7 linked regions of the Canis lupus familiaris genome follow. The protein of the gene in region 1 purifies or fractionates together with the protein of each later gene. This does not show direct contact. Links are inferred from orthologs where the notes say so. Each region holds a gene or a part of one and is shown on either strand. Other genes may lie near its edges.

Region 1 (3,500 bases):
GGGGAAAAATCGCAGCGTATGGACAAGAAGGAACATGGGGAAGGATGAGAGTGTCCGCATCCTCCATGAGATCCAAATAAGTACTTCCATCCTTGATAGAAGAACAGGATATCATAGAAATGATAACAGATTTATAGAGAACAGATTAATAACGTTTCCTGGGAATTAAGAAGAAAAATAAGATAAAACTTCAAGAGAAGGCTTAGGTTTTAAGGTCATTTCAAGGAAATGTTCTAAAAACAAGAGGTGAGGAGAGTGAAAAGGTGAGAAGGTCTGAGAGTTAGTTCTGGAGGCCCAGTGTAGGAGGTATAGGAGTTTGAGGAAGAGAGAGCATATAGAAGTGAAGGAAGGAAGGAAATGAACAGAAGACCATGTCAGCCCAGAGGACGTGAACCTCTGGATTGAGGGGACTCCGCAGTGCCTTGGACAGTGACCAGAAAGATCCCTCACCAGAGCTCATTGTCCCGTCCCAGAACCCTCTAGAGACCGGGAGGCTCTGGAAAAGCTCTAGGTGGCAGAGCTCAAAGAGCCAGTGCTGGAGACTGTGGAACACCACCAGTGACTTCAGAAGTCTGAGTTGAAATGGTTGTCAACCTAGGATGCTATGCTCAACTGAAGCTGCCTCCTGTGAGGCCAGAACAAAGCTGCTCTCAGGTGTGCAGGGTCTTCATCATCTTACCTTGGCTTGAACCGTCCCCCCCCCCCCCCAACCGAAAGGAAGAAAAACCCAGAATGGAGAAGGCGCTGCAAAGCGGGACCCAGTACCTGAGCCAGGGTGGCTGGTGCCAGGCAGAGAGGAAGGGCTGTCACCGTGTAGCTGCTGTACCTCTGCCCTGGAGGACCTGCCAGTCTAGGGCAGGAGCCGGAGGTGGTGCTGAGGAGGTGGTCTCCGGGGATACGTGAGCTGCAGGGTGTCTAGTACTTAGCCCATGTGGCAGTTGTGGAAAGCTGTTGCACAATACAGGGCGAGTTAGCAAAATGAGAAGAGCAGGCATTGTTGATGCTATAAAAACAAAAGCCCCACAAGGAAAGAAGTGCACTGTCTGGGCAAGTAGAGAACCAGATCTATATAGTGGCGGTAAAACAAACAGTGAGTGTTGTTTTCACTAAAAGTTAAGTTTTTGAAAGGACGGGAAGGGGGAGGTGTGTGTAGATCTAGAACAAGAAGCAGTAAACGTGAGTCAAAGGAAAAGCAGTGTGGATTGAAAGCTGTCTGGGGAGCAGGTGGGCTGTGTGGTGGGTGCCAGGAATCTTGGCTAAAGCCTTCTGGAACGGTCTCTTAGCTGTGGGCCTGTTGTCCTTTGATAAGTGAGGCCATGTGTGGGCCTGCACTTCTGGCCTTGTGGGCTCCGCCAGGGCAGAGCAGGATGCCTGTGGTCACTGTGCATGTGTTTTGTGGCACCAGCCACCCCTCCCCCCCGCCCCAGCCAAGTGTTAGGCTTCGTATGGTCCTGGTGACGTGGCTGGGGGCTCTGGCCACGGGGGGTGTTTGGCTTCCTGTTCCTCGCTTGCTGTCTACGCTGGGGAAAATGGGCTTTTGCTGGGGTTCCTGGCTCCAGAGCTGACCGGGATGTTAGCAGAGATTAAGGTTCCATTAGGCTGAAAGTGGAGGAAGGTCTGGTGAGGTGGCTGAGTCTGTGGACATTTTCTAGGGGCCAGGTTTGGGGCCCGGGTATTGGGAGCCAGTAAGCCCCGGGGATCCTGAAGGCCCGAGGTGACCAGCCGTTTGCCTTGGGGCCAGAGCAGTGGCCCCGTGCCCAGGTCCCACACTGGCTGTGCGACTCTCGGGTCTGTGGCGGCGCCGCCGTCCCAAGCCCCAAGCGCATGCACTGTGGCCCTGGCCAGGAGGCCCTCGGGCCAGCTCCAGGTTGAGCTTCCCCCTTGGTGTCTGCAGGCATCGAAGTGGACATTGACGTGGAACACGGAGGGAAGCGAAGCCGCCTCACCCCCGTCTCGCCAGGTGGCTCCAGCACGGAGGACAGGGGAAGCTCTCAGCCCAGCAGCTGCTCTTCCGACCCCAACAAACCCGATGTGGATCGGGACCCGGAGGGCACCGCACAGGCGCTAGCTGAGCAAATGGACAAGGTTGCCCTGGAGTCGGGGCCGCCCGAGGCGAGTACCCGCCCGGGCCCGGGGCTGTCGCTGTGTACTGTTTCTCTCTGGACCCCGGGCATAGCTGACCCAAGCATGTCCTGGTCGGAGTGCCGTTGGTAGCGCTGATGTCATTCTGTGACCCCACTGCTAGAACTTTCCTCCTGTGGCCTTCACGCTTGCTGCTCCCAGGAACGGAGGCTGGGGGCAGGCGAGCTGGTGCTTGTGTGCTCATGGGTGGTTCTGTTCCAGGAACAGATGGAGTCTGATAACTGCTCAGGAGGAGACGAAGACTGGACTCATTTGTCTTCAAAGGAAGTGGACCCGTCCACAGGTGAACTGCAGTCTCTACAGATGCCTGAATCCGAAGGGCCCGGCTCCCTCGGCTCTTCTCAGGAAGGGCCCACAGGACTGAAGGAGGCTGCTCTGTACCCGCATCTGCCACCAGGCAAGTGATTTCAGGCAGTGTCGGTTTTTTTTTTTCTCCAGACCATCCTGTTCCCTCCTTCTAGCATATGGAACTGGAATCTCGCTGGCAGTGGGACTTAGAAGCACAGTGGCCCAGGAGCAGGGGTCATAGCTGGGGTCCTCCACCCCGTGGAGGAGGTGGTGAGGCCACATGGGGACTGTGGCTTCGAGGGCACATGCTGAAGAGAAGCAGCGGATGCCATGCTCTGGTTGTCACGGTCACAAGATGACAGTGTGTCAGAATAACACAGGTGAAAACCCACCCTTTGGGTTCTGGGTGTTCATCTTGTCTGCACCAGGGCAGGGGGCAGCAAGCTGTCACTTACGGGCCAGCAATTATTATTTTTTTTTTCATTTTTATAATGTTTGGAAAAGATCAGGATGTAAAAATTGTATGAGGTGAAAATTTCAGCATCCAAAATAGAAGTCATGCTGAAGCACAGCCCCACTCCTGTTTACAAGCTGCCTGGCTGTTCTGTTGTGGTGCAGAGGCGAGCACACCCCACAGAGCAGCTTAGCGGATTCACCCTCAGCCCTTTATGGGAAGAGCTTGTCAGGCTCTGTGTGTGTGTGTGTGTGTGTGTGTGTGTGTGTGTACTACGAGGGTCAGCGAGCCTATGGAGGGCTGGCTTGTGGCACTGCGGCGTGCTCACTGGCTGGCCGTGCTGTACCCCGAGCTGCTTCTCATGGCTCTGTCCTCTCTCTGGCAGAGGCTGACCCCCGGCTGATCGAGTCGCTCTCCCAGATGCTGTCCATGGGCTTCTCTGATGAAGGTGGCTGGCTCACCAGGCTCCTGCAGACCAAGAACTACGATATTGGGGCGGCCCTGGACACCATCCAGTATTCAAAGCATCCGCTGCCGTTGTGACAGCTTTCACTCTCTGTTCTGTCCCCCTTCTTGACTCCTAGTTGTGATGAGATAGTGTAGAACAGCCGGGCCT
Region 2 (3,174 bases), on another chromosome or scaffold:
TATTCACAATAGCCAAGATATGGAAGCTGCCCAAGTATCCATCGATAAATGAATGGATAAAGCAGATACGGTGTACATATACAATGGAATATTACTCAGCCATGAAAAAGAATGAAATCTTGCCATTTTACAACAACATAGATAGACTTAGAGGGTATTAGGTTAAATGAAATAAGTCCAAGAAAGATAAATACCATATGATTGCACTCATAGGTGGGATCAAAAAAACAAAACAAAAGAGCAAACAAGAAAGCAAGTAGACTCATAAATACAGAGAACAAACTGAAGGTTGGCAGCAGGGAAATGTGTGGGGGGATGGGCAAAATAGGTGAAGGGAATTGGGAGGTACAAACTCCAGTTACAAAATCATGGGCATGAAAAGTACAGTGGAGAGAGTATAGTCAATAATGTTGTGATAACAGATGGCGACTGTACTTACCATGGTGAGCACTGTGTAATGTATAGAACCGTCGAGTCACTGTGTTGTGCTGCTGAAACAGCATTGTGTGTCAACTCTACTTCAGTAATAAAAAAGGGGGTGAGGTATCCACTGAAATGCTAGAAGAGGCAAGATACTTGTTTTAAACATAGCTCATTCTAAAAATTTTCACTTGCAGTTACATTAAAAAGCATGTCTGCCTATATGGCCAGAAGTCAGTGTGGAGACGCACAGCTAAGAGTTGGCTCTGGCACAGATGTGCCCAGCGAAATTCTCACAGTTAACTATTTTGGGCATCTTGCTTATTCTCAGAAAAATACATCAGTCTGGGCAGAAACCACTAGGCTGTCATGGATTTAAAAAAAAAAAAAAAAAAAAAGATCACAACTTGTCTGAAACAGGAGAGGGACCACCACACCCTGAAGAGAGACTGTCCACACAGTGTGAGGAAGGGGACATGTGGCAGGTATACCTCCATGGCTGCATCACCAAGATTCTGAGTCACGCAGGACTCTGCTTTGAGCTAAACTAGCTCAGCAGTCAGTGAGGTGTTTGGTATTTTCATTTTTGAAAACTATATCGATTTTCTTTTTGTTGCCCTAAGAATACTATCCACAGAAAAGTTCAGTGAGTGGTGACAGACGCACAGTCCAAGGTGATGAATGGAAATGGTTTGGTCACACACATGATCAGAATGTTTTAATTTTGTAACAGTGCGTGGTTGACTTTGAAAATCCCTTTTGCACCGTTAAAGCCATTCCCCAGTTTTCTGTACCCTCAGTACTAGCTACCAACAACTGCCTGTGACTCTCAGCCAGTCATTAAAAATATCTTTGTGTCCTTGCTTCTCCTCAGCAGCCCATGACTCATCGAGAATCTTCACCTGTTCCCCAACCTGAAAACAAACCCGAAAGCAAGCCAGGCCCAGTTGGACCAGATCTCCTTCCTGGACACATCCCGATTCAGGTGATCCGCAAGGAGGCAGATTCCCAGCCTGTTTCCCAGAAGCCCCCACCCCCATCTGAGAGGGTGGAAGTAAAGGTTCCGGCTGCTGCTCCAGCTCCTTGTCCTCCCAGCTTCACCCCTCCTGCTGTCCCCTCGTCCCCCAAGAACGTGGCTGCTGAAGAGGGGGCAGCCCCTGGCCCTGCCCCTGCAGAAGCCGCACCTCCCAAACCAGGAGAAGCTGAGGCACCCCCAAAACACCCAGGTGTGTTGAAAGTGGAAGCCATCCTGCAGAATGTGCAAGGGCTGGAGCAGGCTGTGGACAACTTTGAAGGCAAGAAGACCGACAAAAAGTACCTGATGATAGAAGAGTATTTGACCAAAGAGCTGCTGGCCCTGGATTCGGTAGACCCCGAAGGACGAGCTGATGTTCGTCAGGCCAGGAGAGATGGTGTCAGGAAGGTTCAGACCATCCTGGAAAAACTTGAACAGAAAGCGATAGACGTCCCGGGTCAAGTCCAGGTTTATGAACTCCAGCCTCGCTCCCTTGAAACCGACCAGCCACTGCAAGAGATCATGGAGATGGGTTCCATGGCAACAGACAAGAATAAGAAAAGTGCTGGAAATGAAGAAGATCCCAAAACTGAAACCCAGCAGCCAGAAGCCAAAGAAGCAGCAACTGCAAACCCCGGCAGCACGACGGACACAGCTGGAAACCCAGCCGCACCATAGTCTTCTCCGCTCAACACAGCAGACCCGGGCACTGGGAACTGCTGGTGTGCTTTAGGGAATTTTAAGTTGCATGCATTTCAGGGACTTTAAATCAGTTTGTTTTTACTCTTCGTAGGCGCTTGGTACACAGTAACTTGGGTGGAGGCCAAACACACTAATTAAAGGGCTAAAAGGAAAATGATGCTTTTCTTCTGTATTCTTATTCTGTATAAATAAAGCAGTTGCTTGTTTCAGAAGCTAACCCCATTGCTTGTTGTTGGGGCCCTTTCTGTGCACGGGCACCACATGTTAGCCATGGTTGTAAGCTGTCTTCGTGTAGCTCTGGCCCGAAGGAGGTTTCTGGCTGGTAGATGTGGTGTTAATTTCCCATCGCACAAATATGGAATCCATTTTTCAGAAATGTTGCCCTTTGAATGGGATGATTTTCTTCATCTCATAGCTAAAATAGCTAACTTTAGATAGAATAAAATGTGCAAGGAGCCCTAGGAATATCTGTATGTTGGATGACTTTAATGTTACGTTAAGAGAAAAAAGAAAATAAAGTAATAATATAACTCAAAATGGTTTTGTGTGTGTGTGTGTGTGTGTGTGTGATCTCTAAAGTTTTGAGGAAGGGCAGCATCAAGATTATGTCTCATTTGGCTTCAGTGACAGTCAATGGCAGACGCATTTACAGGCCAGCTCTGGGATCTAGCACCTCTCTCTTGGCCCAGCTCATGAGAGAATGAGTGTCACATTTCATCCTCAGATTGCAGCTGTTACCTGGGAAGACCCAGGGCTGTGCACCCAGGTGATGGGAAGGTACCTGTTAGGATTGGCCCAGCCCAGGGGCCACTCTGGCAGCATCTCTGCTCACCTGGGGTCTTGGGCTGCCATCAGCCCTCCGCAAGGGCTGGGATGGGTCAGATGCGCACACAGGAAAACCAGTTGCTCGTGTTGCCCAAGGCTGACCAAAGTGTTCTGCGCACAGTCCAGGTCACTGGGGTTGAGAATGTGTTCTGTGAGAGTCTTTATCTGACGCTTCTCTGAGTCATCAAACCAGGCTGGGTTTATCATCCCAG
Region 3 (3,500 bases), on another chromosome or scaffold:
AATCACAATCAGTGGGGCTCCAGAATATAGGAAGGGGGAGCTTACAGAGGGCATTTTGTTAGGAAGATTAGTGTTAAAGTGGTATGGACACAGCAAACACGCTGAAGGCACTGGAGTAGCTTTTTGAAGAGAAACAGTACTGAAGGTAATCGTGGAGGGAGGAAGAAGTGCCCCTTTGGCCCCACCGGCACTGATTGTAGTTTATTTTTCACAGTTGTTCTGAACTTCTCCTGCATATATTACTTCATTGTGCTCAAAGGTACATTCAGAACTAGAGTTTTGCTTGATGACTTGTTTTACCCTTTATTAGTTATACAGAATCTATTCACAGCAAATAACCTGACAGCTTTTTTTTTTTTTTTCTCAGAGATCCTCTGTCATTGCTAGTTTAAGTTGAGGAACTATTTGCTTATCACAGACATTCTCGAGGCAGTAGGAGACTTCATACTCTCAGTCTATAACTATTTTATCCTGCAGAAATGGTTTCTTCCAACTTTTGTCGTCATTTCTGGCCATGAACATCATTTTCTTAAAGTAGTACATAAGAGCTAGTAGTCTTATTTTTTAATGTAGTAGATGAACTCATTTTGCCTTAGTTTCATTTATTGGAGGTTCTGGTCTTCTGCTGGTTGATAACAGTTTCTTAGATTCTTTTTTTTCCTGCTCAAATTTAGGGGAAGATGCATCCCTGCCTATTACCAGTGGAGGAAGCTACCAGGTATTGGTGAACAATGTGTTTTATTTCACACAACGTGTGGTGGACAAACTTTGGCAAGGCATGTTCAACAAAGAATCTAAACTTCTTATAGATTTTATAATTCAACTAATTGCACAGGTAATCTATTGTCACTATTAGTTTTAGAGTACATATTTTCTTATTGAAAAACTTTTCCTAATGTGTCAAAATTATTGGAAATAAATGTAACTAATAAGATAATGTTAACATTTAATACAAACAAAGCTCAGCTTGTTGAAAGTGAGTAAAAACCATAGACTTCTAACCCTTCCCCTCCTTACCCATAGGGTGGTACCAGCGTGTCCCTGTAAAGTTGCCTAGTTCTCTTAAGCTCTGGGCTCTCACTGGCTTCCCCACTGGTATTGCTCTTTGCTACCCAAATACCTGGGTAACTTTCTTATGGTTTAAATATGGTTTTAAGTTAATACAATTTGATGACTTGGTTTTTTTGTTTGTTTTTACAGTATGCTACATTTGTATGTAAAGGTTTACAGAGCACAAAGAGTTGATATGAAAGGAATATTTTCTTCTTATAATTAAATCTTCACAGAGTTCATTGTAGTTCTTTGAAGGTGTCATTTTAGTGAGCGAGTGGGTGTGTGTGTGTGTGTGTGTGTGTGGTACTTTTGACTAGGAATGTTGGCCTGGTTTGCCACAAGTGATTAATCTTATTCAACACATAGCGTAGAAACTAGAAAATACTGTTACCACGTGTTATTAGCATATGGTGCATAGGTTCTTTCGTGTCATCTAAGAATTTTTTAAGAGATAAATTTGTGTTTAAGCCAAAGAAAAGTTTACAAGTGAGGAAATCAATCTAGAATGTCAAAGGTTTTTTTACTAACATTTTAGATTTGGTTGTTTGTTTGTTTTTCTCAGTAATTGTGAATAGAGATCATTCACCCTAACAAAACTTTTGTTGCAGGAGATTCTCCTTAGATTACACTTCCATATGTACTCAGGCAGGCTGCTCTGCCTACAGGAGTTTTAGCAGCTCTCCTCAATGGGGCATGTGGTTTTCATCTCATTAAATTATACTTATGTGTCTCTTGGGTTCTGAACCTCATAATAGCAAGAGCTTTTTGGTTTTTAACTTAGCACCTTGTATTGAGCATGGCACCTGGTATGTAATAAAGCTAATATTTATATGTGAATGATAAGCAGACCATTTGTTTCTATTTTACTAAATAAAGTATCTTTCTTACCTTTAGTCAAAAAGAAGATCACAGGGATTGTCACTTGATGCAGTTTATCACTGCCTCAATAGGACCATCTTGTACCAATTCTCACGGGCACACAAAACCGTTCCACAGCAAGTAGCTCTCCTAGATTCGCTCAGGGTACTGACTGTAAACAGGAACTTGATCCTGGGACCTGGGAACCATGACCAAGAATTCATTAGCTGTCTGGCTCACTGCCTTATTAATCTACATGTTGGAAGGTAACTTTTTCACATTCAGTTTGCCACCGTGAATTTGTCATTCCACCAAAACTCTGTCCTACTTTTTTGATAGTAACATTTTTTTCCTTTTAATCTCAGTTTTAAAACTTCATGGAAAATATAAACACAAGGGTAACATTTTTGCAATAAAAGAATGAGTATTTTTTCTGTAATTTTCCATGTCTTTAAATTGGTCATTAATCACCTTAAGTCATGTATGTAATTTTTTTTAAAAAGTTTACTTTTAAAATAAACAAAGTATACAATGTTGGAGGTTAAGAGGGATAAAAAGGAAAGAATAATGAATAAATGCAGTGGTATATGTTAAATGGGCGTAATTAGTATTTTTCCTTGATTCTTTGACAGATACTTATTTAATGTCTGGACATTGAATTAGGGACTGGGATAAAATGTGAGCCAGAAAGACCTCATGGCAGGGTCTTGGAACATGCAGTCTAGGAGGGAAAATAGACAACTAAGCCAGACCAGGCAAAGTGTGCTAAGTGCGCTAAGTGCTCTGCTGGAAGCATGGCTCTTTGGGTGCATGGAACAGGTGCTCCTACCTGGAAAGAGACACCTGCTGAGTTACAACTTGAATGTGTTTGACAAGGAGGTTAACTCTCCAAAAAGGATGGGAAAGTGATGTAGGAAGAAAGAGCCATCTATGTGATTGCCTTGGGGGAGGAAAGCATATGGCACTTTCGGGAAACTGCAAATTTGTCACTGCTCCTGGAGCAAAGGGTGATGGGAGAGAGACTGAGGGGAGGTGGTGCATAGGCATATGAGGAAAATGTTCTTAGGAACTTTGTAATTTTTAGGTAAAAATATTAATCATGATCAAAAAACACCTTAAATATTAAGATGCTCATCTTGATGCTGTTGTTTAGTTTAATTACATTTAGTCAAGTGGATTTGTGAGATCATTCCTTTAAAATGGCATTTTCATGATAAAGTAGTAGTTCTGTTTTGTGCACCTGCCAAATATCTGTCTGCCAATTATAGAACTTTGTGATAGAGCCAGCATTTACTTGTGTCTGGAGAGTTATACTTAGTCATTATGGTTTTCAGCTATAATCATTTCCTTCGTATAGTTTAAACTGACTGGAATTTTTCAGCAATGTGGATGGGTTTGGACTGGAAGCAGAAGCCCGCATGACTACATGGCACATTATGATCCCCTCTGACATTGAACCAGATGGTGGTTACAGCCAAGATATTAGTGAAGGTAGTTTGTTTTCTTCCTTTTTTATTCCCCATTCTCCCCATTTCCAATTTTTTTTTTAAGAGAGAATGAGTGTATGAGCAGAGAAAGGCAGATGGAGA
Region 4 (3,500 bases), on another chromosome or scaffold:
TTTGTCAGTGCTTCCACCAGCCCGTGGGTCTCGGCAGTGTATCCTTCCCTGGGTCTGGGCCAGAGGCGGTAGCTCCTTCTCAAGCAGTCCTACAGGCCCTGCTCTCAGCATCTGGGTTGATAGTGTCTGTTAACGTTTTGAAGCCTAACCTTTAAAGAAACCCAGCTGTCAAAATGACATTTACCTTAAACCTTGACAGAGTGCAATGTTGGTAAGGGGATAGAAAAGGGAGCGTTAAAAAAAAAAAAGAAAAAGAAAAGGGAGTGTTTACCACACTGACTGGGACCGCCTGGAGAGGCGGGGTGGGAGGGATGCTGAGGGCAGCAGCCCATCCCTGTAGACCTCCTCCCACCCACTCGCGGGTTCCATGCAGCTGCATATGTGGCCAGTGCTGTTTCTCATTATTCCTTGTCCATTGTGCCTGTGTCATCCTCTCGGGTACAAGGCTTAAGTAAAGATCCAGTTCCCACCCCAAAAATGCTGGCTGCCAAAAGGGGATGTTCTCCTTTGGCAGCCTTCCCCCAAGACAGACCAGAGCCTCTGAGCAGACGGCTGTCCTGGTGCTGGTGGCAGGCCTCGCTCAGCATTGCCTGGGCCGGGTGGCCATGGCTCTGCCCTCACTCTGCGGGAGCAGGGCTAGTGGGAGCCTCAGCGGCCAGCGCTGTGAAGGGAGCCAGGTCAGGTAAGTACTGTGGAGTGGAGCACCCTCGCTCTGGGGCTCCCCAGGCTGCCTTGCCCGCTTCCTCTGTCTCACTGGGCAGAGCCGGGCTTCCAGCCAGAGTGGCAGCGTCCATTTGCCTGTTCCTGGTGTGGCTGGCAGGAGCCAAAGTGGGAGGCAGCTGCTGCTGCTACACAGTCCAGGTCCCTGGCGTCTGCTCCAGCCGCCTCTCAGGGCCCCCAGGGCCCATCTGTAGACCTGTGTTGAAGGACAGCCTGGTGAGGACTGGGAGGCATGCCTAGGAGACTGCTCTTCCCTCACTTGAGCCTTGCTCCCTTAACTCCTTTGCCAGCCTTCCCCACGTTATCAGCAGGATGGGCAAGCTGGAACAAGTGGACGTTAACCTCTTCTGCCTGGTGGCCACGGACTTTTACAGACACCAGATAGAGGAGGAGCTGGACCGCCGGGCCTTCCAGTCTGTGTTCGAGGTGGTCGCGGCACCAGGAAACCCGTATCATCGATTGCTGACTTGTTTGCGGAATGTCCACAAAGTCACCATGTGCTGAACGCCCACACAGGGCAGCAGCACAGAGCCGGGGGCCCTGCCTGCGCTGGCGTGGCTCTGCAAAGGCCTCCCCTCGAGTCGCAACAAGGCCAGGCAGGCAGTGTCGGCTCTGCCACGTGGCAGAGGAGCTCTTTGGCAGTGAGGCTGCGTGCAAGGGAACATGTGCAGTACCGTGGGGTTGAGCCTGAGTCCTCGCAGAGAGCAGGAGCAGTTGTGTCACTAACCCTTTGTGCTGCAGCTCCTCCAAAATGCCAGCTAACCAGGTGTTCTTTTCCTCTTAGCACCCAGCCTGCTCGTGGTCATCGGGTTACAGCTGCTCTTGTGTCCTAGAGCCTCTCTGCTGTCCCGCCGGCAGAAGGTGGCGCCAGTGGGCTTTCAGGAGCATTCCCCGGGGCTCTGGCCTGGGGGTCAGGACCACACCCAGTCCTGGAGGGGACCGCTGCGGTGTGTGCAGGTGGGGGGGGGGGCTGGGAACGTGACACCCAGCGCCATACTTCCTTTCTCTGATTTCTTCTCAGGATTTAAAGTTTAATTATATCAGTAAAGAGATTAATTTTAAGGTAACTTTCTACGCCCGTGTAAAGTATGTGCATTACCAAGTCTGTGCCGCATGTGACAGAGCCTGCGGAAGCTGCCCCAGGCCGGTCCTTCCCTGGCAGCCCCTGCTCTCTGCCCTGCAGCTTCCCTGCCCGCCCCCTTCGCCCACACACACACACACACACACACACACACACACACACCTACACACCTACCTGTCTTCCTTATTAACACGCTGGCGATGTTCTGTGGTACCCTCCACCCTTTCTCACGAGTTCACTTCTGTTTAGAGATGTTTAGAATTTAGAGATGTTTCATGTTAAGGTGTCTGCGTCAGGAACTCATACAGCCACTCTGAGGACTGGAGGGTGCCTGCCCCCCTGTCCCATACACAGCCCGCCTGCTGCTCCCTCACCCTTCCACACTGATGGCTCTGTGGGCTCCATTCCCCAGTGAAGGACAGCTGTGCTGGCACCTAGCCAACAAGGCCAGCTCTCCTGGTTACAGGCAGTCTGTCGTGTCCAATGACGCCAGCCTGGATGTTGTCCGGTCCCGTCCCAAGCGGGGTCGGGCTGGGAGCTAACTGACCGCTGTGAAACCTGCTCTCCATGTGGCCTCTCCTGTGTATTAGGGCCCAGGCGTGTAGTGGAATTATATTTGTACCACTCTTGGTCAAGAGCAAAGCTCGGCATTTGGCAACTGTTAGAGAAGGACCCCAGCACCCACTTGGCCCCCTTTGCAGCTCAAAATGTAAAGTGGGCCTCCTTTCAGGAGGATGCAGATCTGTACCCACTGGATACGTGATGGGGCTCAGAAGGGGTAGTAAGGAGAAGGGCTGGGCAGTGACTGGCCGGCCCACGTCCCCTCAGAGCTGCTGCTTTTACCCCAGGCCCAGGCCGCTGGACCAACTTTCTGTTTCCAGCCCCAAAGTAGCCAAATCATCCAGTGCAGATGAGGCATGGACATTTGGGTTGACCTCTGCTGGGCAGAGCTCATGGTGTGCCTACGAGTGGGGCCATGCTTGCTGTCTGCCTGTGAGGCTGGTGGGTACTCTGCTGTCTGGCCCCAGAGGCAGGCCGGTTGCATGATGACTGCCATGTGGGTCAGTTTGGTCCTGAGTTCAAATGCAGGCAGTGGTTTGGGTATTTCATGTGGTGAGTGGAGATCATTTTGAAGCCCTTTTCCAGAGCCAGAGGAGGAAGCGGAGGAGGAGGAGCCTTGGTACATGGTTAATTACCCTTACATCTGGCTGGGTATGGGCCTGATATCCCACCACAATACACAGCCAGCTGTGGGGCACACACCAAACTGCCTGCTGACCCCCTGCCCCAGAACTGCCATCCTCTTCCTACCCTCTCCTGATACAGCAGTTTGGGAATTTCTAGGGTGCAGGGTTTTCCCACCAGCCCCCACAGAGGCCCCACCAAGCAAGGGCATGAGCAATAGAAATGAGTCCCGCTTTTGAGCTGGATGGAAGGGAATCTTAAGAAGGAAATCTCCCATGTCCCCCACCTCTGCTGGGCTCCCATCTCTCCCTGCCACCTCCTAGAAACCGCCTGTCTCTCACCCCATCACCTCAGCGGCTCCAAGACAAGAACATCACAGGCCAGGCTGCATGCTGTTCCTGGTGAGGGGTTTACATTTGTAGGAAGTAACACTGTGAATGTAAGGTTTGGAACCATCCCCCTTAGGATCCATATCACTGGGCTCACCTGGAAGCGTCATTGTCTTCCCTTGTTT
Region 5 (4,051 bases), on another chromosome or scaffold:
TTCTTAGCAGCATTGTTCAAAATAATCAAAAGCTAACAGCAATCCAAATGTCCACTAATGGGTGAATAGATGAACAAAATTTGGCATACACATACCCTGGAATATTATCCCACCTTGAAAAAGAATGAAATAATGTTGTATGTGACCACATGGATGAGGCTTGAGGACATTATGCTTCATAAAGTAAGCTAGCCACAAACAGACAAATACTTTATGAAGCTGTTCATAAGCCGTACTAAGAGTAGCCAAATTCTTAAGGATAGAAGGTGGTAGTTCCAGGTGCTTAGGGGAGGGGGACAGGAATTGTTGTCTAATGGGTACAGAGTTTTGCAAGACAAAGAAAAGTTGTGGAGATTGATTGCGCAATGTGAATGTGTTTAATGCTGCTGAACCATAGCTTTGAAATGGCTAAGACGGTAATTGTATGTCACGTGTATCTTATCACGATTTTTTAAAATGCTGTCTATCTTCCACTCACCCCACTCCAGCTCATCCCTCTTAGCTTTCTCATAAAGGTCTCTTCTGTTGATTGCAGCAAAAATCCACACTGCCATGGCCCATGCCTTCTCCTCACCATTGAAGTCGATCATCAGAGTAGCCAGATCCATGTGGTCAGCTTTCTCTGTCTGACTCCGAGGGAGAGGGCTGAACCCTTTCTGAGAAGGGTAGTCTTGTAAGTGCATCTTGAATTTCTTAAAGTCTGCATCTTCCAGGTCCTCCAGGTAACGAGCCAGCTTGCAGCGGACGCTTGCCATGCTCCTCTGCAGCTTGGCTCAGGGCCCTTGGGCATAGGTCCACTCCAGGAAGCTGGATGATGAAAACAGCACATGGGTAAGCAGAATCTTCCTAAAAGTCTGCCCTCTTGAAAGAGAATGAACCCACGAAAAACCCAGAACATAAGGAGAAAAAATAGAGAATTGAACCATAATGAGGTTTTGAAAAATGACCCAAATACTCACCAGAACGTTTTCCTGTTGGCTCAACTCAGGAGTCTGTCCTGAGCCATGGAAGAACAGTGTCCCTCTGGAGAGAAACAGAGGTTAAACCCGCACAGGGAACCATGTCGATAATACTGTGAGCCCAACCTGCAGCCTTAAGCCACCACAGTGCACCACAGGGAGAACTTTGTTCTCACTAGTTACTGAGGAATGGCCTGGGGCAAAGTCTTCCTCAGCTTCTGTTTCTTCATCTATAAAATGACAGAATGGAAAATATGGCTTTTAAGTTCCTTCCATTGGAAAGGCTCTGGTTCCCTATTTCTGTTTTGACCCCGGAAATGAGTAAGTACGGTAGTAACAGAGCAGCACATGGCTGGACGGAGGAAGAAGACAGACGCGCCTGGACAGGGGAGGTCTCCAATTGCACATCCATCCATCTATTGATCGATAGCGATGAGTGGGTGACGCTCGAGGTGCGTAGGGGGAGGTGATGACCACATACATCTCCCTGAGGTGTCCTTCAACATTCACAATTGTGATCATCATTAGAGCCCACGGGGACTGAGAGCCTCTCGCAGCCTAGGTGCCGCACTCATGTGCTGTGCATCTAACTCTCCCGAAGCCCTAGGAGGTGCACATATGCTTAGGCCCATTTTACAGAAGAGGAACTGAATCTTAGCAGAAACTAAGTGACTTGCCCAGGGTTTCGCAGAAAAAAAAAAGGGTTCAAAGCCAGGATTTAGGTCAGGGGCACTGATTTCTGAGTTCATGTCCCTAAATACTAATTTTCATAGCAAGAAAAAGCATGTGATTCTTTCTTCCATCACTTAACGAGGTATCTCAGAAAAACATAGAAAAGAACAAAGACAATAAAATAGGTGGTTAAAAGGCAAAAAACAAAAACAAACCACTTTCCCAGCATTTTCCACGCACAGCCCACCATTTTTTAGAGCTCAGGGTCTCAGCTTTTCTACAGGGATGCAGAGTTCCACATAGAGCAAAGTTCAGCTGCTGTGTCCTTGCTCTTCTGCGTCTCCAAGATTTGGGCTGATAAGCATGTTGGCTTTGTTTGGGATCCATCCCGCCACATGACTGAGTTTGGGAAAGCACAACATCAACCCAAGGCCATGAATGAGGGTCGCTAACAGGAGGGAGAGGAAGGGTGGGACTGCAGGAGAGAGTGTGTGTGCACAATGCCTGAAGCATGCTTGCCTCCCCTGTGCCTTCATCTTGCCCTGCACTCCTGGCTCCACGCACCCACCAAATCCGTTCCTCATGCGTTTGGCGGTGGGCTGGGCATGTCCAGGTAGACCCACCTGTTTTGTGGACCATCCCAGGACCCCGGTCGGCCTTGCCATCCACATCAGGACTCTACGGCTCCTCTGTGCCCCCCAGCCTCTAAGCCCCATGCGTTCTACCCTGACCTTTGCCTTCTGTGTCCTGCGGTGTCTAGGACGTCCACATCCCCACCACATCCCCTCCATCCACTCCCTGGGGGGATGCTGGGCAAATCCGCCCCAAGGGTGGGTGTGAGCTGTGGTGGCTGTCCCTACCTGCCCCCCCCCCCACTCCCCAGTCCCTACGCACACACTTGCACACAAGCCTAGGACCCAGTAATGAAAAACAAAAAAGGGTTTTCCAGAATTGTGGAAGGGCAGGCTTGGAAGCTGGCCGGAGAATCCCTAGTGTGCTAAACAGGACACCCCCGGCTCTCCATGGCCCCTCCTCATTCTCCCCACACTCTTGCAGCCATGCAGCTCCACAGAGTTGGACTCACCCGGACACCAGCCTCAGAAACAGCCCAAGAGGAAACTTGATGAATTTATAGTGGTCACAGCCCAGCAGGGCAGGAAGGATGTGGCCTCAGCATGGAGTGAACAAGCTTGCATCACCAGGTTGGAGACTAACAGTTACTCATATTGTGGATTTTCCACACCAGTGAGCAGCGTGCTTATCTCGGCCATAGCCAGAGACGTCTGCCGTGCTCTCGGGGGCCCCTGAGGCGGGGTGTCCCCGTGGGCGTCCCAGCGGCCATGAGAGGGCTGTGAAGGTAGTGAGCACAGTGGGGCAGGGGACCCCCCGGGCCTGGCAAGTAGAGCATCAGGAGCATGCCTGGCCCTCCAGCCATCAGGCACAGTCTGCTGGCCGGCAAAGGCTCTGTGCACCACCTGTCAACGTCCTCAACTGCTTTTCTGAATTGAGGATACGCCTGTGAGAACCTCACCTCTGCCGAGGCCATGCTCATCACCTCCCAAAGTCTCCTCCCGCCCCTTTATTATTGTTGCTGTTTTAATGCTGTTCTGTGTGTATGGTGAGAACCCTTAATACAAGACCTGCCCTTTGGCAAGTATTCCAAGCACAGCAGAGAATGACCAGCTGTGGGCACAGCGCCATATGCCCATCTCCAGGACTTAGTCCTCTGGCGTCACAGCCTGCGTGCCCCCAACCGATACCTCCCACTGCCCCCTCCCAGCCCCGGGCCCCTGACCCTGCACTCTCTGTCTCTGTGACTCCGACGAACTTGGAGTCTACGTACAGTGATATTACACACTTCACGTCCTCCAGCTCCACCCACGTTGTTGCAAATGGCAGCATGTCCTTTTTCCCCGTGGCCGAATAATCCCCATGGCATGTGGTGTAGACATGTGTACCTACCGTCTTCACCCTTTCTTCCACTTGTGGACACTTAGCTTGTCTCCGTATCTGACCTTTTTGAATAATACCACAGCGGACATGGGAGTGTGGACATCTCTCCGAGATCCTAAGTTCAATTCCTTGGGGCAGACACAAACCCTGCTCCTAGACTCATGGACTCACTTAGTCTGTGAGCACTTACGGAGCGCCCAGTGGGTGCCAGGCAAGAATGCCAGCCTGGAGGGATGCCTTGCTTTGCCCCAGAGGAGCCAGAGGACCAAGCAGCACCCGGACCGTGTTTCCAGGCACGTGTGGCGGCTGCAGGACCACAGTGTGATGATGGCCCGTGTACATAGAGCAAGCGTGGTGAGGGAGAGGAGGTCAGCTCTTCGGGCCAGCATGGGGCCTAGAGCAGGAGGGATGAGAGTCCACGACCAGGGGGCAGCACTGGAAGCGGGTCCGTTTCTCTGTGCAGATAG
Region 6 (2,753 bases), on another chromosome or scaffold:
GTTAGCATAGAATTATCATATGGGACCTAGCAGTTCTGCGTACAGGTGTATATCCAAGAGAATTTAGAGCAAGGATTCAAAAAGATATTTGTGCACCCATGTTCATAACAGCACTAATAATAACAGCTAGATGGTAGAAACAACCCAAGCGTTCATCGGCTGGTAAATGAATACCCAAAATGTGGTGTAAACAAACAATGGAATAGTATTCAGCCATGGATAATATTGGATGAACCTTGAGGATGTTATGCTGAGTGAAATAAGCCAGTCACTAAAGGACAAATACTCTGTAATTCCACTTATCTGAGGTCCCTAGCGTAGTCCCGTTCATAGAGACAGAAAGTGGATGGGGGCTTGGGAGGGGCAGGCAGGGGAATGGGGAGTTCGTGTCAGAGGGCACGGAATTTCCACTGAGGAAGATGACCAAGTTCTGGAGACAGATCGTGGCGATGGTTTCAGAACAACGTGAACGTACTTAATGCTACTGAACCTTACTTTATTTTTTATTTTTAAAGATTTTATTTATTTATTCATGAGAGACACACAGAGAGAGGCAGAGACGCAGGCAGAGGGAGAAGCAGGCTCCATGCAGGGAGCCCGATGCGGGCCTCGATCCCGGCACTCCGGAATCGTGCCCTGGTCCGAAGGCAGACGCTCGACCACCGAGCCACCCAGGTGCCCCTGAAACATACTTTAAAATAGTGAAAAGGGTGAATTTTATGTATATTTTACCCCCAGGATAAAAATACAGGTATTTTGCCCACCTTCTATGTTAAAAAGTCAACTTCCCTTCCTCTTGCAGACGAAACCTGGATTGGCATTTACACAGTCAAGGATTGTTACCCCGTCCAGGAAACCTTCACCAGAAATTACAGTGTGCTGCTGTCCACGCGGTTCTTCGACATCCAGCTGGGCATTAAAGACCCCTCCGTGTTCACCCCGCCCAGCACCTGCCAGACGGCCCAGCCGGAGCCGATGAGCGAGAACTGCTCCTGGCAGTAGGCCCGTGGGCGCCCCCACGGGGTTCGGGCTTTCGAGAAGTGACCACCTTGGCTCGAGAGAAGGATCGTGATGGGAGGAAGATAAACCGTGATCCGGGGTTCTTTGTATATATGATCCTGGCTTCTCAAGCGATGTTGACGAAGGGGATGGACAGCGGTGGGAATGCGACTGGAAGAGACGGCAGACCCGGGGATGCGCTGTCTGCGCTGGCAGGTGGATCTGGGAGCGGGGGCACACGTGAGCTGGGGGGGGCAGGGTGGAGGGTTTCATTACCTGAGTTGCCGAGAATTGCTGCATTGCTGCCACGTAGTGATAATAAAATGCAGGACGATTTTGCTCCCGTTTTATGATAAATTTTTGAGTTCTCTGCAGACAGTGGCCTCTATCTTGCCTGCATCAGGGTGGCGGCCGCTCCCCTGCCCTGCTTCCTGCTCCCTTGACCCGTGACCAAGCGATTCCTTAAAAACCCCTTCCAGCTTTGTGGCATGACCCGATTGATAAAAATCTGGGGAGGAGATGAAAGGCTCTGACACAAAGCAATTACACAAGAGGGTTTGAAAATCCTCACGTGTGTATCTGGGTAAGCGTGGGCCACGTGTGCTTCCTTTTGTCTACGCAAGAGTATTGATGGATGTGCTGAATCATCCTATATTTGTCAGGAGACCTCGAAAGACAGCTAGTGTTCTAAAAACAGCGTTGAACTGGGGGTCAGGGGACTGATGTCTTCAGAATCCGGGCCTGCAATGCCTTTGTACTTGAACTCCTCCCAGTAACTACATGCACTCTGCTTGCCCTCGTGGGGTTCCTCGCGGGGGCCCTGTTTCCGCAGCCTCTTTGCGCCACTTCTGCTCATCCTTCCCGGGTCAGCTCACGCTTGACCTTCAGAGAGCTGCTGCTGGCCGGGTTGGGTGCGCCCTGTAGCTTCTCGCCTGCTTCCTGGGCAGCATCGCCCACCAGCCTGGCTGTGAGCTCCTTGATACGGGTCACCACGTTCTGTACTTCTGTACTTTTTCTCTGCCCAGCACCAAGTAAGTGCCTGGCACATGGTCAGTGCCCTAAGCATGTGTAGAGTGGAGAATGCCAGCCTGTCTGGTCACTGGATTCCTCATCTATTCAAGGGTTGGGTTTGCTGACCTCTTGGGAATAAAATGTATTATTTTGGGTTCTTCTCCTACTGTGTTTCATCTGGCTATGACGCTGAAAACAGTCTGTATTACTCCTGGTTTATTTCAATAAACAAGTTTAATTGCATTTCTAAGTGTTCTTTGATACTTTCACTTTTGTCCCATAGGTGAGTTATCTTGGTAATTCGGGCGTTAAAACTCCTCTCTGATGAATAAAGTGCTTCGGGTGATCTAAGCCATATTCATTATCCCTCTCTCGAAGGCTTGCTCTTCTGTTCAAAGCCCAGTTGCCTGGGTCTGGAAGCCTCTGAGGTGTTCTTGGTCCATTTTTCTCCATCAGTCCTCATAGACAATCAATGTCCCGAGTCTGGTCAGAGTGGCCCCTGTCCGTCCCCTCAGCCGCCATCTGGGTCTGGGCTCTTCCCATGGCTGGCCTTTGCAAGAACTTCATAGCTTCTCTCTTGCCCTGGTCTTTTCTCCTCAAAGCCAACCTCTGCGCGGCCAGTCCCAGGCCAGTACTGAGCCCATTACCTCTAGGGCCCATGCCCGTTCTTGGAGTCTCAGAGCAGAGGGGAGCCCAGGCAAGGCTGGCATCTGGAATGCACCGATGGGTGGGGACTTTCATAG
Region 7 (3,500 bases), on another chromosome or scaffold:
TGTGACCTTGGACAAGTCATTTAATTTCCTTGAGCCTCTGTTTTTCATCTGTTAAATAGGACAGTCATGGTATCGTTTGGGTTGAAGGTAAACTGGACAAGAGAGCTTGGTAAATTCATGTCATTGATTTGCTGGCACAAGCCAGTGAGCCGCAGAACCCCCTGTGTAGGGGGGTGGGCCTATGTTCTGTCTACCTTTGGACATTGGCTGATGAACACATTCTGTATCTCTAATAGCACACGTTTGAAGAAGCAGAGAAAGGGTTTGATGAGACATTGGCCAAGGAGAAGGGCATGAATCGGGATGATCGCATCCATGGAGCCTTGCTGATCCTCAACGAGTTGGTCCGAATCAGCAGCATGGAGGGAGAGGTGAGAAGCCATGCCAGAAGGGAGTCTGGCGTCCACATGCCGTTCTGTGAACAAGACAGGCGAGATCCTTGTCCTTACAGAGGATGTTTTGTAAGGGAAACAAGCAATAAGCAAGTAAACAGGGTCACTTCAGAAAGTCCTATGAAGTAATGAGATGGAGGGCAGCAGGGGGAGGGCGTGGCCTTCCTGTCTGGGTGGTGCCATTGGCGCTGAGACCCGCATGACGTGGAGGGGTGAGCCTTGCAGTGGGCAGGGAGGTTGTGTTCTGGGTGAGGCTCTGTGGTGGGAGAGAGTTTGATAAGTTCAGGGAACAGAAAGAAGGGGAATGTGGTCAGTGCAGGAGAGCAGGGGAGAGGGGAGGGGACACATTCAGAGGCCTCTCGGGTTCGTGGTGAACACTGGCTTTGATTCTCCTTGCAAACATTGGAGGTGTGTACACAGGGCAGTGCTGTGGGGGCCTCCATTTTTAATAATCATTGACGGCTTGTGGGGCAAAGCTTGCATCGTGGCAGGTAGGAAGCAGGAGACTAGTTAAGGGGGTATGGTTAAGAGTGTAAGCATTTTTGTTAGGGAAAAAACATGGGGAGGGATCAGGGAGGGCCTGGCGAGCAGGGCAGCGCTGGCTCTGAGTGAGCAAGACAGTGAAGCAAAGTGGGCTGGAAGCATGCTGGGCCACCGTGCAGCGCCCCGTGGGGGCCTCAGGCCACAGTTGGCTCTGGGGGAGGCCCGCCCAGCATTCCTCATGCGTGCTGTCATTGGCTAGAGCCGACCGCGGCAGGCGTGGCTGTGGCACAAACATGGTGACATCGTCAGAGTCACAGTGGGGCCCTTGGTCAGCTGCAGTCCTTGTGGTTGGGGCCCATTCTCCCGGCTGCCCTGGGAGGCTACTGAAGTAGTCTGGGCGGGTGATGGTGGTGGCCTCCACTGGTGTTGGCAGTGCGGACGCAGAGTAGATTCAGCGTGAGTCCACTGGCTTCAGGATGGATATGTTTGGTGAAGAGCTCCATCGTGTCTTCCTGCATGGGAGTGAGTTGGTGTGAAATTTTGCCGCAGGGCTTCTTGCTTTAATACACCCAGTGGGGGGGGGGGGGGCATTTGGTAACGGCAGTGCTGTAAATACGGGGCAGCACCTGCTGCTCTATCTGTAGAACACGGGGGTCTAGCTTTGAATCCCCACCCCTCTCAATACCGTGGACTTGGGTACATTATTTTATTTTTTTATGCATCATATTTCCTTGCTTTTGACGGGGATCTCATCCACCTTACTAGGCTCCTGTGAGGTTTCTAAATACAATTGACCCTTGATGAACACAGGTTTGAACTGCACGGGTGCATGTACATGTGGGTTTTTTTTTTTTTTTTCAGTAAATATATTGGTAAATTTTTTGGAGGTCCGTGACAATTTGAAAACTCACAGATGACCCATGTAGCCTAGAAATACTGAAAATGTTAAAAAGTTCGATATGTCATGAATGCATAAAATACAAGTAGATAGTAGGCTGTTACATTATTTACTACCACAAAATATATACAAATCTATTACTGAAATTAAAAATTTACCCAAACTTATGCACACCAGCATTTACAGACTATACATGGCGCCGTTTGCAGTCGAGAGAAATGTGAGCAAATAGGAAGGTACAACATTAAATCCTAACTGCCTAAGATTAATTGTGGCGCACGCTGTCCCACTGTAGTAATTCCGCAGCCACCTTCTGTTCCGTCGCGGTGAGCTCGTGTTGCGAGAATCTGGTTAAACCGCTGTGCACGGCTGATCTGTGTGCACAGTTGGCCCCTCCAGTAAATTGCGCATTGCAGTAAAAAGGGCTCTGTCGCACTTCTCATGTATTTTTCATCGTGTTTAGTGCAGTACCGTAGACCTTGAATAATACTGTGGAACCCGTAACGAGTGCCATTAGTGAAGTTCTCCCAAGGAGCAGAGTCATGACATTATAAGAAGAAATTGAATGGCTTGATAGGCACTGCAGATTGAGCTCTGCAGCTGTGGCTGCCCACCATTTCAAGATAAATGAATCCAGCATAAGGACCCTTGCAAAAAAAGAAAAGGGAAATCCGTGAAGCTGTTGCTTCAGCTTTGCCAACAGGCACAAAAATCTTGTACTTTTTGAGAAATCTGTTTTATCTCATGTTGAACAGGCAGCTTTTATGTGGGTACAGGATTGCTGTAAGAAAGGCATACTTGAACCCCCTAATACGATTCTAGAAAAAGCGAGACCATTATATGACAACTTAGAGCAAAAGGAAGGCGAGGTATTGAAAGCTAGAGTACTGAATGCCAGCAGAAGATGGTTTGATAAGTTTGGAAAGAGGTTCGACTTAAAAAAAAGTCAAGATAACAGGAGAAGCCGCTTCTGCTGACCCAGGTGCCATAAAGAAGATCACTGAGGGGAAATGATATGTGCCTGAACGGGCTTTAATGCAGACGAAAATGCTCCACTCTGGAAAAGAAAATGCCACAAAGGACATTTATTAGGAGGCAAAACAGGCACCGGGATTTGAGGCAGGCAGGGGCAGGCTCATTCTCTCACTGTGCTACACAGTGGAGCAGATGATCAGGACGGCCCTGATCTAGAAAGCTGCTAACCCTCGAGCTTTGAGGGAAGCTACAAGCACCACAAAAATTCTCTTTCAGGATTTGTTCCCTTAACGCTTTGTCTCAATCCAAGCACCACCTTGCCCATAAGGGATCGCCTTTTAAAGTTCTTTTGATACTGGACAATGTTGGTATTGGACAATGCCCCTGGCCGCCCTGAAGCTCATGAGTTTAACGCCAAAGTCCTCGAAGTGGTCTACCTGCCCCCAAACCCAGCATCTCTAACTCAGCCTCTAGGTCTGGGTCGTGACCTTTAAGGCTCATTACACATGGTACTGTATGAAAAGGATTGTCAACACTGTGGAAGAGGACCCTGATGGAAAGTGGAAGGATTACACCGCTGAAAATGCCATCGTTGTTGTAGAAAAAGCCAAATGCCTTCAAGCCTGAAACACGAAATTCCTGCTGGAGAAAACTGGCCAGATATCGCGCATGACTTCACAGGACTTAACGGCAGATCCAGTCAAGGAAACCGTGAAAAGGATTGGAAGAAAGTGCATGTGGCAAAAAAGGTG

The links.
Region 2: the proteins of SQSTM1 (region 1) and BAG3 purify together in Homo sapiens (affinity purification with western blotting; 3 studies listed by BioGRID and IntAct, with this or other methods). This does not show direct contact. The link is inferred for Canis lupus familiaris from reciprocal best matches to the Homo sapiens genes SQSTM1 and BAG3.
Region 3: the proteins of SQSTM1 (region 1) and WDFY3 purify together in Homo sapiens (affinity purification with western blotting; 4 studies listed by BioGRID and IntAct, with this or other methods). This does not show direct contact. The link is inferred for Canis lupus familiaris from reciprocal best matches to the Homo sapiens genes SQSTM1 and WDFY3.
Region 4: the proteins of SQSTM1 (region 1) and HTT purify together in Homo sapiens (affinity purification with western blotting; 4 studies listed by BioGRID and IntAct, with this or other methods). This does not show direct contact. The link is inferred for Canis lupus familiaris from reciprocal best matches to the Homo sapiens genes SQSTM1 and HTT.
Region 5: the proteins of SQSTM1 (region 1) and NLRP3 purify together in Homo sapiens (affinity purification with western blotting; 3 studies listed by BioGRID). This does not show direct contact. The link is inferred for Canis lupus familiaris from reciprocal best matches to the Homo sapiens genes SQSTM1 and NLRP3.
Region 6: the proteins of SQSTM1 (region 1) and EPDR1 purify together in Homo sapiens (affinity purification with mass spectrometry; 3 studies listed by BioGRID and IntAct, with this or other methods). This does not show direct contact. The link is inferred for Canis lupus familiaris from reciprocal best matches to the Homo sapiens genes SQSTM1 and EPDR1.
Region 7: the proteins of SQSTM1 (region 1) and MTOR purify together in Homo sapiens (affinity purification with western blotting; 4 studies listed by BioGRID, with this or other methods). This does not show direct contact. The link is inferred for Canis lupus familiaris from reciprocal best matches to the Homo sapiens genes SQSTM1 and MTOR.

Annotation. Positions count from the first base shown.
Region 1 is NC_049232.1:2,125,545-2,129,044, reverse strand, and holds part of SQSTM1 (sequestosome-1), read left to right. Parts: intron 1-1,894; coding exon 1,895-2,112; intron 2,113-2,343; coding exon 2,344-2,539; intron 2,540-3,269; coding exon 3,270-3,427; 3' UTR 3,428-3,500. UniProt on the Homo sapiens protein: Molecular adapter required for selective macroautophagy (aggrephagy) by acting as a bridge between polyubiquitinated proteins and autophagosomes.
Region 2 is NC_049249.1:30,112,388-30,115,561, forward strand, and holds the end of BAG3 (BAG family molecular chaperone regulator 3), read left to right. Parts: intron 1-439; exon of another isoform or gene 440-558; intron 559-1,294; coding exon 1,295-2,113; 3' UTR 2,114-2,674; downstream 2,675-3,174. UniProt on the Homo sapiens protein: Co-chaperone and adapter protein that connects different classes of molecular chaperones including heat shock proteins 70 (HSP70s), e.g. HSPA1A/HSP70 or HSPA8/HSC70, and small heat shock proteins (sHSPs), e.g. HSPB8.
Region 3 is NC_049253.1:31,496,260-31,499,759, forward strand, and holds part of WDFY3 (WD repeat and FYVE domain-containing protein 3), read left to right. Parts: intron 1-674; coding exon 675-835; intron 836-1,947; coding exon 1,948-2,177; intron 2,178-3,292; coding exon 3,293-3,402; intron 3,403-3,500. UniProt on the Homo sapiens protein: Required for selective macroautophagy (aggrephagy). Acts as an adapter protein by linking specific proteins destined for degradation to the core autophagic machinery members, such as the ATG5-ATG12-ATG16L E3-like ligase, SQSTM1 and LC3.
Region 4 is NC_049224.1:61,609,889-61,613,388, reverse strand, and holds part of HTT (huntingtin), read left to right. Parts: coding exon 1-38; intron 39-54; exon of another isoform or gene 55-682; intron 683-1,010; coding exon 1,011-1,224; 3' UTR 1,225-3,500.
Region 5 is NC_049229.1:335,775-339,825, reverse strand, and holds the start of NLRP3 (NACHT, LRR and PYD domains-containing protein 3), read right to left. Parts: upstream 2,801-4,051; 5' UTR 2,716-2,800; intron 1,190-2,715; 5' UTR 960-1,189; intron 808-959; 5' UTR 756-807; coding exon 479-755; intron 1-478. UniProt on the Homo sapiens protein: Sensor component of the NLRP3 inflammasome, which mediates inflammasome activation in response to defects in membrane integrity, leading to secretion of inflammatory cytokines IL1B and IL18 and pyroptosis.
Region 6 is NC_049239.1:12,223,248-12,226,000, reverse strand, and holds the end of EPDR1 (mammalian ependymin-related protein 1), read left to right. Parts: intron 1-802; coding exon 803-1,002; 3' UTR 1,003-2,253; downstream 2,254-2,753. UniProt on the Homo sapiens protein: Binds anionic lipids and gangliosides at acidic pH.
Region 7 is NC_049223.1:84,300,174-84,303,673, forward strand, and holds part of MTOR (serine/threonine-protein kinase mTOR), read left to right. Parts: intron 1-236; coding exon 237-371; intron 372-3,500. UniProt on the Homo sapiens protein: Serine/threonine protein kinase which is a central regulator of cellular metabolism, growth and survival in response to hormones, growth factors, nutrients, energy and stress signals.